Linked DNA regions of Stegostoma tigrinum. The main gene of each other region encodes a partner of the protein of the gene in region 2 in a complex. Links are inferred from orthologs where the notes say so. Each region holds a gene or a part of one and is shown on either strand. Other genes may lie near its edges.

Region 1 (7,295 bases), on a different chromosome or scaffold from region 2:
GATGGGGGGGTGGTGGGAGTTAGAGCTGCATTAGAGATAGGTGGAGATGTTTCAGGGATGCAAGGTTCCTCTGCTGTCAATGGTCAGGACAGCAGACATTGCAATGTAGAAAAAGGATTCAGTTGGAATTCCAGAACACAGGTCAAGGAAAGCTTTGGAGAAGGTTACAGAAAAAAAAAGTGTAGAATTGGGAAGTGGTCTGGGAGGAATTGAAAACAAGTGGAGAATTTCAACATTCAGGTGTTGCCTGATTCAACAGGGGGTGGGGGGGAAGGAAACAGGAAAACAAGACCATTAGCTTGAGAACTAAATTGCCAGAGATTGATGAGACTTAAAGACTGAATTTGGATAATCAAGTCAGTTGGGCATCATCCTGATTAGAGGCAAAATAGGGGCAGGAGTGAGGATTTCAGCAGATGAACTGGGAGACAGGGTGTCCTTAGGGACATCAGGCACTTATCTCAGGGGCCAAGCGTGACACAAAGACTGCAAACAGACCAGATTACTCACGGGCAGCTGGTAAGGAGAGGGATCAGAACCGAAGGCTTCAGTCCCAATAAATCCACATGCCACTAAATAATCCCCATTATCTGTCATCCTCCCAAGCCACCTTATCCACTCCTCTGGGCTCTGTCTCCACCTATCACTTACTCCTCAACCACCCTCCCCCCTTTATCTTATGCATAAAATTTGACCTTTTCCTAGCTACTAGTCCTGAAGAGGTGGTTACCGGACCCAAAACATTAACTGATTTCTCCTCCACAGATGCTGCCAGACCCACTGAGATTTTTCAAGAGGCCAATCAGTCAGTCGCTACAACTCAGCCCCCTCCCCAGTGTCCTAAAGACCATCCAGGGTATTGGGAAGCCCTACACATCTCCCCCTCCCTCAAGCAGGTGCCCACTCTTTCCTCCCCATGACCTCTAATCCTTGGGAGGAGAGCAGTGGTTATGGGAGATTTAACAGGGTCAGCTGTACCTGATAATGATCATGAACTGACATAGGCTGAGTTCCAGAGGTACAAGGTATTTTGACCTGTCCAAATGAGGTAGGGATCGCTCCTTTGGGTATCGTTCCACAATCACCTGAGAGATAGAGATATCAGGATACACACATTCAAAATGCCATGAACAGTCACTAAATGCCAACTCTATCTGCAGGGGCCAAAAATCCCCATTTACTCCCATTCCACCTCCTGTAGGATTAGCCAAATGGATAGGAAAAACTGGAATCCACTACTATTCTGGGGGAAAGAGGTCACTTGACCAGCTTTTCAGTATCCTGGCCACAAGAGCCAGTCAGAAGTTGGGAATCCTGCCATGAGTAACCGATCTCTTGACTCCCCAAAACCTGTCCGTTGCAAGGCAAGGGTGGGATGGAATACTCCCCACTTGCCCCTGGATGGGGGCAGCCCCAACACTCAAGAAACTCAATACCATCCAGGACAAAGCAGCCCCCCAAGTTGGCACTCAGTATTACATACCACCTACAAAAGATGCATTGTAAGATCTCAAAACTCCTTAGATAGCACCTTCCAAACCTATAAGCTCTACCATCTACAGAATCCATCCCCTGTGCATTCCCCTCTGAGCCATGCACCGTCCTGACTTGGGAACAGGAATCCAGCCTCACTGGGACAAAATCCTGGAACACCGTGGAATGATACCGTGAAGGCAGCTCAGCAGCACCTCCTCTGGGCGCATTAAAACACTGTCCCAAACCACATTCGTTACTTGAACTGAAAATGATTCGTTTCAAGGGCAAAAAGTTGGATCAGGTTGTAGGTTTGGAATCGCAAATAATGATGGCAGATTTCCTTCCCTTAAAAGGAAAGGGGGGGCATTAGGTGACCCAAAAGAGGTTTGAAAATCAAGTCATTGTGGCTCTAACTTTAATATGTTCCAGGTTTATTACTGACTCATTCCGTAAGTGGAATTTTGACTAAGTCTCTCCCTGAGGGATCTGTTTATTTCTCAAGGCATTGTACGGAACACCTCAGAAGGTGACAGTTCCCAGTTTCTTTTGGGGGGGCGGGGGTGGTGGTGCTAGAAACAAGGCAAACATTAGCTTTAATAAGTCCTGGAGTTTTTAAATACAAGCAGATTTGGTTATTCACTTGATGTTTAAATTCTAATACCCTGGTGTTGAATAAAAACACAGGAAAGATTGTTATCCGGGAAGAGTATCGTCCTAGTAAATACGCACTTATCCGAGTGTAGCGTGTTCTGGCTGGTGCAAAGTTACATATTAAAAACAAGCAAACGTCATGGCGTTAACAAGTTCTCTGTAGTGAGGACCTAACAGGTTTAGAGTCGTGCACAGAGGGTAGACTTAATCGATTATTCTTTTCACATTTGCAGAAGGGAAGGGATTTAAACTAAGAAAAAGCAAGGAGGATCACATTGCAGCTGTACACCGTTTCCTGGCACACTAACCGCCCCCCCTTCCACCTCTCAACATTTTAAATAACAATAATAAAAGCTTTTTGACTGACCGGTAGCTTGTTGGGGTACTTCCTGCGGATGTTAATTACTTCACTTCTCCTGAAAGCTTAAGCAAAACAAAATAAACAACAAAAAAAACAAACAAACGTGAATAATTTGATTTCTAAACAAAATTCTGAAGTGACTGAAAAGAGAAGCAAGTTTAAACAAAAGGCGTTTAGAACTAGATTTAAAAACAGATTGGAAATAGAGTGGAATTGACGCGTGCATTTCATGATAAGGAAGATTTTCCTAAAAAGAATAAAACCCCTCACCCAAACTACGCCTCTCCTTGAAGGGTCTACAATCCAGGGTCCTCTCTGAGGGAGCCATGCCTTTCTCCAAAAGAAACTTTTCTCCCTTCCCAACAGGGAACAAAAATGCTTTCGTTGCCCCTCCTCAGCCACCAGCCCGCGTGTTTTAACATCCCGTCCAAGCAACCCCAATCTTCACTCTAAATTAACCAGTTAAACAGTCGGGCATCGACAATAAGATTTACTTAAGCCATTAGTTTCTGCTGGAGTATTGTTTCAGGTCGATCAGTCTTGCTTTAAGGGGCGTTTACCAATTAGTCTTGTTTCAAGTAATTAATTTATTTACAAAAACAGAAATGGCTGGAAAAGCTCAGTGGATTTGGCAGAACATAGAAACGATGTTGTGCCGAACTTTCACTCCAAACCTAAGGTCTATCAGACCCCCACCTCTACCTTATACTATCATCCTTATGCCTATCTAATAGCCACTTTAATGCCCCTAATGAGGCCGACTCCACTACCCTCTCCGGCAATGCATTCCACACCCTGACCATTCTCTGAGTAAAGAACCTACCTCTGACGTCTCCCCTATATCTGCCCCCATTCACTTTAAAACCATGCCCCCTCGTAATAGCTACCTCCACCCTCAGAAAAAGTGTCTTGCTGTCCACTCTATCTACACCTCGGATCATTTTGTACACCTCTACCAAGTCACCTCTCATCCTTCGTTGCTCTAAAGAGAAAAGCCCTAGCTCTCTCAGCCTTTCCTCAAAATTCTGAGGAATGGCCACTGGACACGAAATGCTAACTCTGCTTTCTCTACACAGATGCTGCCAGACCTGCTGAGTTTTTCCAGCAATTTCTGTTTCTGACTTCCACACGTCTTACGGTTTTAGTTAATTTGTTACATTTCATTGAAGGTCAACTAGAAGTTCGTTGAAGGATCTGGTGTGATGATGGTGTGGTTTCCTGTAGAATGTGGGGCTCACAGTAGGGAAGCGGCCATTCAGCCTGTCCTGCGAGGAAGATATACCCAAATTGTAGCCCCAGCATCTCCCCTACTCTTTTTACGCAGCACCTGAGCACTGACCCTCCGACAGTGCCCACTCCCTCAGCACTGACCCTCCGACAGTGCCCACTCCCTCAGCACTGACTCTCCGACAGTGCCCGCTCCCTCAGCACAGACCCTCCGACAGTGCAGCACTCCCTCAGCACTGACCCTCCGACAGTGCCCGCTCCCTCAGCACGGACCCTCCAACAGTGCCCGCTCCCTCAGCACTGACTCTCCGACAGTGCGGCGCTCCCTCAGCACGGACCCTCCGACAGTGCAGCACTCCCTCAGCACTGACCCTCTGACAGTGCCCGCTCCCTCAGCACTGACTCTCCGACAGTGCCCCCTCCCTCAGCACTGACCCTCCGACAGTGCCCACTCCCTCAGCACTGACCCTCCGACAGTGCCCACTCCCTCAGCACTGACTCTCCGACAGTGCGGCGCTCCCTCAGCACGGACCCTCCGACAGTGCCCGCTCCCTCAGCACTGACCCTCCGACAGTGCCCGCTCCCTCAGCGCTGACCCTCCGACAGTGCCCGCTCCCTCAGCGCTGATCCTCCGACAGTGCGGCATTCCCTCTGGACAAGGATTGTGAGCCTGGATGAGGAAGCAGAAATTCCCAAGAACTCTCTGTCTGTGAGGTGGGAGTAAGTTAGTCATTTTGGAGAGGAGTGGATTGTGGGGAGTTGTAGTCTATCGCTTCCTACATTTCTTTACCAGTTGTGATTCTGCTTGAATGATGCAGCATCTTGTCACTAACAGCCTAATACTGCTGATAAGATTCTGGTTGCAAAGCTGGGACCTTCCTGTGCAGTTTCCTATAGCCTTGTACTTCCATTCTGCCCCTTCCAATCCAACTGCTGATACCTCCCCGTTCCCAACATAATAACAGGTAGTGAATATTCACCAACACCTTCATTAACACCTCCCACCCCAACTTTAAGTTCACCTGGACCATCTCTAATACCTCTCTCTCCTTCCTGGACCTCCCTGTCTCCATCTCAGGCAACCACCTAGAAACTGATGTCCATTTCAAGCCCACTGACTCCCACGGCTACCTAGAATACACCTCCTCCAACCCACCCTCCTGCAAAAATACTATCCCCTATTCCCAATTCCTTCGCCTCCGCTGCATCTGCTGCCAGGATGAGGCATTCCACTCCCGAACATCTCAGATGTCCTCGTTTTTCAAGGACTGCAACATACCCCCACAGTGGTTGAGAACACCCTCAACCGTGTCTCCCTCATTTCCCACAAGTCATCCCTCACACCCCGTCCCCACAATAACAACCAAAACAGAATCTCCCTCGTCCTCACATACCATCCCACCAACTTCCGGATCCAACGCATCATCCTCCGACACTTCTGCCATCTACAATCCGACCCCACCACCAATGACATTTTTCCATCCCCACCCCTGTCTGCATTCCGAAGGGATCACTCTCTCCATGACTCCCTTGTCCGCTCCACACTCCCCTCCAACCCCACCACAACCCGGCACCTTCCCCTGCAACCGCAGGAAATGCTACACTTGCCCCCACACCTCCTCCCTCACCCCTATCCCAGGCCCCAAGATGACATTCCACATCAAGCAGAGGTTCACCTGCACATCTGCCAATGTGGTATACTGCATCCACTGTACCCGGTGTGGCTCCCTCTACATTGGGGAAACCAAGCGGAGGCTTGGGGACCGCTTTGCAGAACACCTCCGCTCAGTTCGCAACAAACAACTGCACCTCCCAGTCGCAAACCATTTCCACTCCCCCTCCCATTCTCTAGATGACATGTCCATCATGGGCCTCCTGCACTGCCACAATGATGCCACCCGACGGTTGCAGGAACAGCAACTCATATTCCGCCTGGGAACCCTGCAGCCCAATGGTATCAATGTGGACTTCACAAGCTTCAAAATCTCCCCTTCCCCCGCTGCATCCCAAAACCAGCCCAGCTCATTCCCGCCTCCCTAACCTGTTCTTCTTCTCACCTATCCCCTTCTCCCACCTCAAGCTGCACCCCCATTTCCCACCTACTAACCTCATCCCGCCCCCTTGCCCCATCTGTCCTCCCCAGACTGACCTATCCCCTCTCTACCTCCCCATCCATACTCTCCTCTCCACCTATCTTCTCCTCTATCCATCTTCAGTCCATCTCATCCCCTTCCCTATTTATTTCAGAATCCCTTTCCCCTCCCCCATTTCTGATGAAGGGTCTCGACCTGAAACGTCAGCTTTCCTGCTCCTCTGAAGCTGTTTGGCCTGCTGTGTTCATCCAGCTCTACACCGTGTTATCTCAGATTCTGCAGCATCTGCAGCCCCTACTATCTCCTGTGAATATTCTCATCCTCTCAAAGACTGCAGCAGATTGAGGGGAGTGCTGCTCCACCACACCACCCGGTGGCTGCAGCCTGCAACTGCAGTGTGACGGTTTACATAAATAAATCAAACTGTGATGTGCAGATTTTGACAGAGGAGGGAGGTTGTGACACATTAGTAAATACTGTGCTTCTGAGCCAGGAGGCCTAATTTGAAGACTCGTCTGCCCTGGAGCTGAGTCATATCTGGTTTTAAAAAATTATAACGGCATCCCTTGAGAATACACTGCCCAAACAACATGGACAGTCCTCCTACTCAGAATGTTTCCTTTGGCACTAAGCAGTTAACACCTCTCTGTGTGCAGCACAACCTCACCTCTTGGATGGGGACACAAAATAACAATGGGTTAGCAGAAAGGACACCATTCAGCCAGGATCTGATCAAGGGTCCCAACCCAAAACGTCCACTTTCCTGCTCCTCCAATGCTGAATGATTTGCTGTGTTCCTCCAGTTCCTCTGAGACCATTCAGTATCCTACTTTGTGTCTTTCCCACTGTTGTGTGAGCGCCCAGGACTGTTATATCCCCACAGGATACCCTAGGGCAGTGCAGGGCAGCATGGTGGCTCCGTGGTTAGCAGGTACTGCCTCACAGTGCTCTGGGTTCAATTCCAGCTTTGGACACCTGTCTGTGAGGGAGATAGTAGGAGCTGCTGATGCTGGAGAACCTGAGACAACAAGGTGTAGAGCTGGGTGAACACAGCAGGCCGAGGAGCAGGAAAGCTGATGTTTTGGTTCTGGACCCTTCTTCAGAAGCCTGTGAGGGAGTTTTGCACATTCTCCCGTGTGTTTCATCTAAGAGCTTCCACCAGACCAAAGGTGTGCAAGCTAGGGTAGATTAGCTATGCTGTAGTGTGCGCGGTGGGATGCCCTTCAGGGGCCCAGGCTGGGCCAAATGACCGCTACCTGCACTGTAGGCATTCTATGAGTTGGGGATGGGGCCAGTCATAGGAAGAAATGTAGACTATTCAGCCCATCAAGCTTGGCCCAGATCTCTGAATAAAAGGGAAATAAAAGTCTTAAATAAATTTCTCAATAAGGAAATAATTTATCCCAGATTTAAAATTGACAACTGGCTCCCACATCCTCCACTGTTTGGGAAAGAGAGTGTATGTGGTGTGTGGGAGGATGTCACCT
Region 2 (7,155 bases):
AGTAAGGCTACATTCAACTGTTGTTAAAACGTTAAAATCCGCCCTCGGTAATTACCTTGAATGCTGCCACCACCAACCCCTTCCCCAACCACCTGAAAGAGACCTTAATTCTGAGTCACAGTTATGGTTGGAGACTTCACTGTTCCAATTTATTTACCTGGATAGTAATTTAGGAAAGATTAGAGGAATGTAAACCTGCCATAACTCCTGGGTAATTGTAAAACTTACGCACCAGCGTGCCCCTCCTCCGCCAACAATCCATTGATCTCCCAACTCTCCCTGAAGCCATCCCAAACCCACTCAACCCAAACTCCACAGTACATTCTGATTTTACCCCTCATGACCCAATATTCCTAATCCACTCCCCAACCTCATTCCAGGAAACCACTAACCAATACCATTCCATCCCGATGTCTCCCCAGCCCGATATTTCATTAAATCATACAATCCCTACAGTGTGGAAGCAGTCATTCAGCCCATCAAATCCACACTCATCCTCCAAAGAACATCCTACCAAGACCCACCCCATCCCTGTAACCCTGCATTTCTCATTCAAAATTTGTCCATCCCTGGACACTATGGGCAGGTTAGCATGGCCAATCCACCTAACTGCACATCTTTAGACTATGGGAGGAAACCAGAGAAAGCCCATGTGGATATGCGAGAATTACTAACTCCACATAGACAATCGCCGGGGACGGGTGGGGGCGGGGGGGGGGGGGGGGGGGGGGGTTCGAACTGGGGTCCCTGGCACTGCGATGTAGCAGTGCTAACCACTGAGCTGTTCACATGAGTTTCCCCAACCTGACACCCTGGCCCATTCTTACCAACATTCCCCCGATGAACTCCTGGCCTTGCAGCCCCATTGACTTGAAACTTCTGACCTGAAAGCTGATATCAGTCCTGCCTGACAATAACACCCCCAGCAAACATTCCCTCTTCCTGATGAAATACTTCCTGGCTAGACAGACACCTCAATCTAACCTGACTCCACAATTTCCTGACCTGGCACATCCAACCTGACCCAACACCCATCTCCCTCCACTACCCCAATCCATGCCACCTTACTCCTCACCCACACCTGCTACCAAACTCCCTCCCCAGTAGTCATTCGCTACCCTACGTTGCCACTCTTCAAACTGCAAACAACTTTAGATCATGCCAGGCAAAGAGATAAGCTGCTGAGTGATTTATGTGAAAGTGAAATGGCAAGCACTACGACAATGAACACACAACAACTTCATGATGAATTGGAAAGCTGAAGATGTTGTCGGAACATTTGAAAAGTCCCGACAAAAGTGGAAACTGGCAATCGTTACCTTGAACAAAATGGAAAGGATCAGCTTTTGTGGACAAGAAAAGTGGTGTTAAACTTGCAAAATAACTGACAGTCAAGTGAGGACGACACTGAAAATACAGACAAAATCCTTGTCGTATTTCGCATATAACCCCAGCCAAAGTCAACTCATTGGATTTAGGGCTGCATGCTGCCTCAGTGGTTAGCACTCCTGCCTCACAAGGCCAGGGACCCAGGTTTGATTCCACCCTCCTGCATCTATCTGTTTGGAGTTTGCATATTCTCCCAGTGTCTGCGTGGGTTTCCTCTGGGTGCTCTGGTTTCCTCCCACAGTCCAAAGATGTGCAGGTTAGATGGACTAGCCATGCTAAATTGCTCACAGTGTCCAGGGATTTTCAGGCTAGGTGGGTTAACCATGGAAAGTGCAGTGTAACAGGGATAGGGTAGAGGGGAGGGTCTTGGTGGGATGCTCTTTGGAGAAATGGTGTGGACTCAATGGGCTGAATGGCCTGCTTCCACACTGTAGGGATTCTATGATTCTATGATCAACAGGCATTTCAGAGCAGGAAGCAAGTGAGCCTGTTCACAATTTCTTAACAAGATTGAAAAATGCAACCAAATAATACAAACGCAAGAATGAAATGTCTGGATGTGATATTTTCCAAGGAAATATAAAATCATATAACCATTCCCATCAGGAGGGTGAGAAATAAGCCCACAACCATATATATAAAGCAGAAGCTCTATACCAGATTACAGAGTAATGGTATTCTGCTAAGACCAAACCAGAAGATTGTTCTAGGAAATTTGATAGAAACTATCTGCCCAACGATAGATACTCCGAAACTGACCAAATGTCATAGAAGGAACTGATTTTCTACAGCTCAGAACATCCCCAATCAGGGGAATCCTGGAGTTGAGCACTTGTGAAGAATTGCAGCTCATCTCAATAAATCATGAAATGAATAAATGACAGTGAGATTGAAGATAGTATACCCACTGAAAACTGCCCTCTGATCAGAAGTGAGAAATTGATTGCTTGGCTCACAGAGCCCTAGCTTTGGTAAATTCCATTGTGATGAATGAAAATATTCAAAAGCCAACTAAATAAGTTGCAGCTAATAAAACTTCCTGCATCTACCTCTTCCCCTTAATGTCAGCCAGAATGTCAACAGAAAATAGGTGAGATAAACAGAGAATGTAAAAGAGCACTTAGCATTGCTAATGATATCCACATGTATGGTGTTGATGCAAAAATCATGATCACCATATACATGAACCATGGAGAGAACCAGAAGAACTCAGATAAAGCTAAACAGAGAGAAATGCATTGCAAATATGACAGAACACTTGCTCTTCAGTATGCAGTACACGAACGGTGGAGTTCTAAAAAGATCTGTTATCTTGCAGGTGGAAGTTCCAAGAGACATGAAAGAATTGACAAGTTTCCTTGGTGTGAACCTAGACGAGTCTTTTCACACTTCGCCCTAAGACAATAAGATGTAAGAGCCAGAAGTAGGTAAATTGGCCCATCGAATTTGTTCTGCCATTCACTGAAATCATGGCTGATCTGATAATCCTCAACTACACTTTCCTGCCTGACTCCTATTAAGTCTTGATTGCCATATTTATTAAAAATCTGCCCATCTCAACCTTGAATATTCTTCATATCATTATGTTGGAAAGCACAGCACATCTATGAGAGCTGGTGACAAAAGATATTGAGTACTGGTGCTCAGCGTCACATCAGAGGAAATTCAAGAAACTTGCAATCGTAGCACAGGGGACAAGCCTTTGTACTACAATAGAAAGAAATCTGTTGTTTTGTAATTGGTACTTCCACAGAAGGACTAGGCACAGCCTTAGTACAATCGAGAAGATCGCTAGCATTCACATCCAAAACTTTGATATCAGCTGAGACCAGAAATGCTAACATAGAAACAGAACATTTAGCAGTTGTGTATGGATATGAGACATTCTGTAAAAATTGCTAAGGAATCATTGCACACTAAGCAAATGTACAAAAATTGTGCGGAACACCCAAAAGACTCAATGGTTCCTGAACTATCAACATTCTTTCTCCCCAGCACTCCAAACCCCCAAACCTCTCATTACTGCATAAATGTTATTCCCTCCACATTTCATTTCAGCTTTGAAGAGTCATCTAGACTCAAAATATTAGCTTGCTTTCTCTCCATGGATGCTGCCTGACCCACTGTGATCTCCAGCTTTTTTTCTGTTATCAGTACAGATTCCACACCTGGAGAAATTTGCTCCTCCAAGATTAAATGGTAACTTTCAAGGCTGTGGTGTTATAATTGCACTCTGAGATACAAGTGAGAAACAAAAGTGGGGCTGGCAGATGTCATACTTCAGTTATGGTTACAAGAGATACAAAATCTAGGTTTAAAGAACATCACCAAAACTATGTCAGATAGGAGGGGACGGTAGCAGTTACGAATAGTCCTGGTATAACTGATCCAGGCGTGGCCTGATAAAACATAGCAATCACAACTGACCACAGAGCAACATTGGTCTATCACAGAGGGCATCCTGGTGGAAGATGGGGCGGTGCTAGTTGAACTCAGTCCAATCACACCGAAAATGATGCAGAATAAAACTTCTCCAAGAAGGTACATAAAGGTCACATCAGAACTAGATGAAGCGCCATGGTTTTGAAAGTAAAGTTTGATTATTTCAAACTCTGAGAACAGTGACATGGGTAGGCGGGTGTAAAACAGGACTCGAGCGAATGGCTAGATACTGCAGCCTACCGCTAGGTGGAGGCCGTTCACCGGGTTGGGGTTCTCGCGGTGTGCGCTGGGATAGTGGCGGAGTCCATGGGAGGAGGAAAGTTGTTCTCGCGGTGTGCCCTGGGATATTGGAGGAGTCTGTTTTTGCGGTGGTATTGTCGTTTTGGCGAGGGTGTTGACAGCCTGAAAGCTTCGGATCTGCGGGGGTAAGGGGAGAAAAGATGGCAAGTGAAGCGAGTTGTGGGCAAGAAGAAGCGGTTTGGGTATTTGGGAGGAGCTGATGGTGTTAGAGGGCGTTGGGACAGGTGAGCTTTGAAGCCTCCTCGGATGGGTCTCGGAGATTTCAATTCCTTTATATCTCTGTATCTGTCACCCCGAAGTTCAGTGCCTGAGATCCAGCAGCCTTGGGCACCAACAGGAATAAAGACGGGAAGTTGGTTTTGTCAATGAAACCTCCTACTCCCTGTTTGTAATATCATAGCTAATCTGATCTGCTACGCTCTTCAAAGTTTCTCAACAGTATTGCTTTGTCGGATAAAGAGTTTTCTTAGTCTTTGGACATGTTTCTAAATTTCTGATTAGAGTTACGGTATTATTAACCAGACTATGATTTTTTTTATTTCAAATTAATGTTTTGGACACTCAGTTTACATATATTTATGATAGTTGGAGCCTCTGTGTTAAACTCCACGTCATAAGGAGCAAAGTTCTGGACAGTTTCAATTTCGTTAAACTCTTGATAAGTTTTTTTTCTTTGTTCAACTTCATTAACACGCTGTAAAGTTGGGAGAAAAGAATCGTGAAGGCTGCCTTGTTGAAATTCCTCTATTGCTTGACACTACTACAGACGAGGAATCTGCTTGGTTCTATCATTCTTATTGGAACTGTGCCCTGCTAGGTTTGTTGATTTCAGTAAGAATAACCGTCATCATGTCTTGTACTGGGGAAAAGATGTGCTCATATCACTGGTCTCTTAAACAAACTCTATTGGAAAGACTAACGGTATGTATGTAACCCTTCAAACCAGGAATCAGCCTCCTTGTAGTCAAATAGCTCACTTGCTTTATTAGGGAGCCAAGTTTTGCAAAGACTTGTGGATCTGTACCTCAGCAAGTTGATAACACTTCATGAGAACAGGCAGTTAATTGGCCAATAAAATTACAAAAGAAACAAGAACAGAATGTTAGAGGAATGCGGCAGATCTGGTAGCATCAGTGGAGGGTAAAACCACTCCCCAGTCAGTTTTGGACTCAAAATGCTAAATCTGTTTTCATTCTACAGGTGTTGCCAAACCTACTAAGTTTCTCCAGCACTTTTTGTTGCAGATATCCAGGATCTGTAGTTCTTTGTATTTATATTAAGGAGAAAAAAAATATTGATTTATTAAGTCAACCTGCTTAGTCTGTCCTTTAGTTAACTTTTAAATTGCTGAGTTGTGGTTGTTGGCAGCCTGGGGTCTTCTGTACTTTAATCAAAATTATCTGATATTTTTAATCATGGCCATGAAACATTGGGTTAAGCATTGCCTTCTGTTTTCATTTAGAGGCTTTTAAAATTCATAACTTGAATTTATGACTTTTAGGGCCAATTTTTTATTATGCAACAGCAAGGATAAAAAAAATTCAATCAGTAGAAAGTTCTTTTTCATGTAAACTGTAATATACTAAATAAACGAATCAGCCTCCTTGTCACTGCTTCCAATACAGCTAAATCTTTCAATCAGGAAGGCAAACTACACTGATCCAGGTGTGGTCTCACCAATGCCCTGAATGAAACAAGGTTTCTCCGTTTTTATATTCCACATTCCTTTATAACAAAGGAAACAACCAATTACTTCCCTAAATACTAGCTGTATGTGCATGCTAATTTTGAGATTCATGTACACTCAGATTCTCTGAACTGCAAGATTCTGCTGTTTTCCCTCTACTTAAACAATTCTACTTTTCTATGCTTACTGCTAAAGTGGAACGTTTCACGTTTTCCCACGTCATTCTGCATCTGCAATTTTTTTTTGTCATTCGTCTATACCCCTTTGCAGATATTTGTATCATTTTGAGGCGCTCTACTATCCACTTGATGATCAGCAAATTTGACTATAATATAGTTGGCCCCTTCATTCGCTTATATAGAATGCAAATAGTTCAGCTCCAGCATTTATCCTGAACTACTCCATTAGTCATTGTTTATTAACTGCAAATGATTCATTTATCCTGGTTCTCTGTTTTCTATTTGCTAGTCAGTTTTCTATCCATGTCTATATATCACTCCAATGAGCTCTGATCCTTTGAGGTGAAATTTTAAGTGGCCGTAACAACTGATTTTTGGGAATTCACTGCAAGGCTCCTACATCCTGTTTTAATCGCAGTACAACATTAGCAGAAAAGTTTACAGTCAAGCTAAAATCTGTACCATTGTAAATTGATGCTAATGTTAACTAATAGGTAAGAAAGATATGAGCAGCATAGTTGCAGTGTGGTTAGTACTGCTGCCTCAGTGCCTAGGAAATAAAAATCGAAAGAACTATGGATGCTGTAAATCAAGAACAAAAACAGAAGTTGCTGGAAAAGCTCAGCAGGTGTGGCAGCATTGGTGGAAAAAAAATCAGTTAACGTTTTGAATCCAGTGACTCTTCCTCATATTTCTTTCAGGTGCTCTAGTTTCCTCCCACAGTTATCCCATAAAGATGTGCAGGTGAGGTTGATCGGCCATTCTAAATTGCCCAGTAGAGACCAGGGATGTGAGGGCTAGGTGGATAAATGTGAAATTACAGGGATGGAGTGGGAGTGTGGGTCTGGATGGGATGCTCATTGGGCCAAGTGACCTCTTTCTGTCATGTAGGGATTCAATGATTCTATAAAATAGAAATGACCTGAAAAGGCAATTTTTCATGGTGTTAATTCCTGCAGAAATGCATAAAAGGGCTGCCGTGTAGGATACTCGGATGATTAAATGCTTGTGTGTTGCTTAATTTGTGCAGTAAGTGAAGTTTTGCAATTTAGTGGTGGTAAGAATCTGCTCTTTAATTTCCAATAAGGGAGCAGACAGGATTGACATAGGTCTTTTCCTTTTTTTTATGATGCAATAATGAAATGGTTTTCATCAGTC

The links.
Region 1: the proteins of plekhm1 (region 2) and microtubule-associated proteins 1A/1B light chain 3C are in contact, whole or in part, in a crystal structure (PDB 5DPW), measured with the Homo sapiens proteins. The link is inferred for Stegostoma tigrinum from reciprocal best matches to the Homo sapiens genes PLEKHM1 and MAP1LC3C. Residues at the interface, in NP_055613.1 of Homo sapiens: Glu632, Asp633, Glu634, Trp635, Val636, Asn637, Val638, Gln639, Tyr640; in NP_001004343.1 of Homo sapiens: Phe13, Arg16, Lys17, Glu25, Ile29, Phe33, Lys36, Pro38, Asp54, Lys55, Thr56, Lys57, Phe58, Leu59, Val60, Pro61, Glu63, Leu64, Ile72, Arg76, Phe114.

Annotation. Positions count from the first base shown.
Region 1 is NC_081395.1:6,216,299-6,223,593, reverse strand, and holds the start of microtubule-associated proteins 1A/1B light chain 3C, read right to left. Parts: upstream 3,023-7,295; 5' UTR 2,817-3,022; coding exon 2,759-2,816; intron 2,551-2,758; coding exon 2,495-2,550; intron 1,086-2,494; coding exon 979-1,085; intron 1-978.
Region 2 is NC_081384.1:31,550,690-31,557,844, forward strand, and holds the start of plekhm1 (pleckstrin homology domain-containing family M member 1), read left to right. Parts: upstream 1-4,151; 5' UTR 4,152-4,256; exon of another isoform or gene 4,257-4,355; intron 4,356-7,155. UniProt on the Homo sapiens protein: Acts as a multivalent adapter protein that regulates Rab7-dependent and HOPS complex-dependent fusion events in the endolysosomal system and couples autophagic and the endocytic trafficking pathways.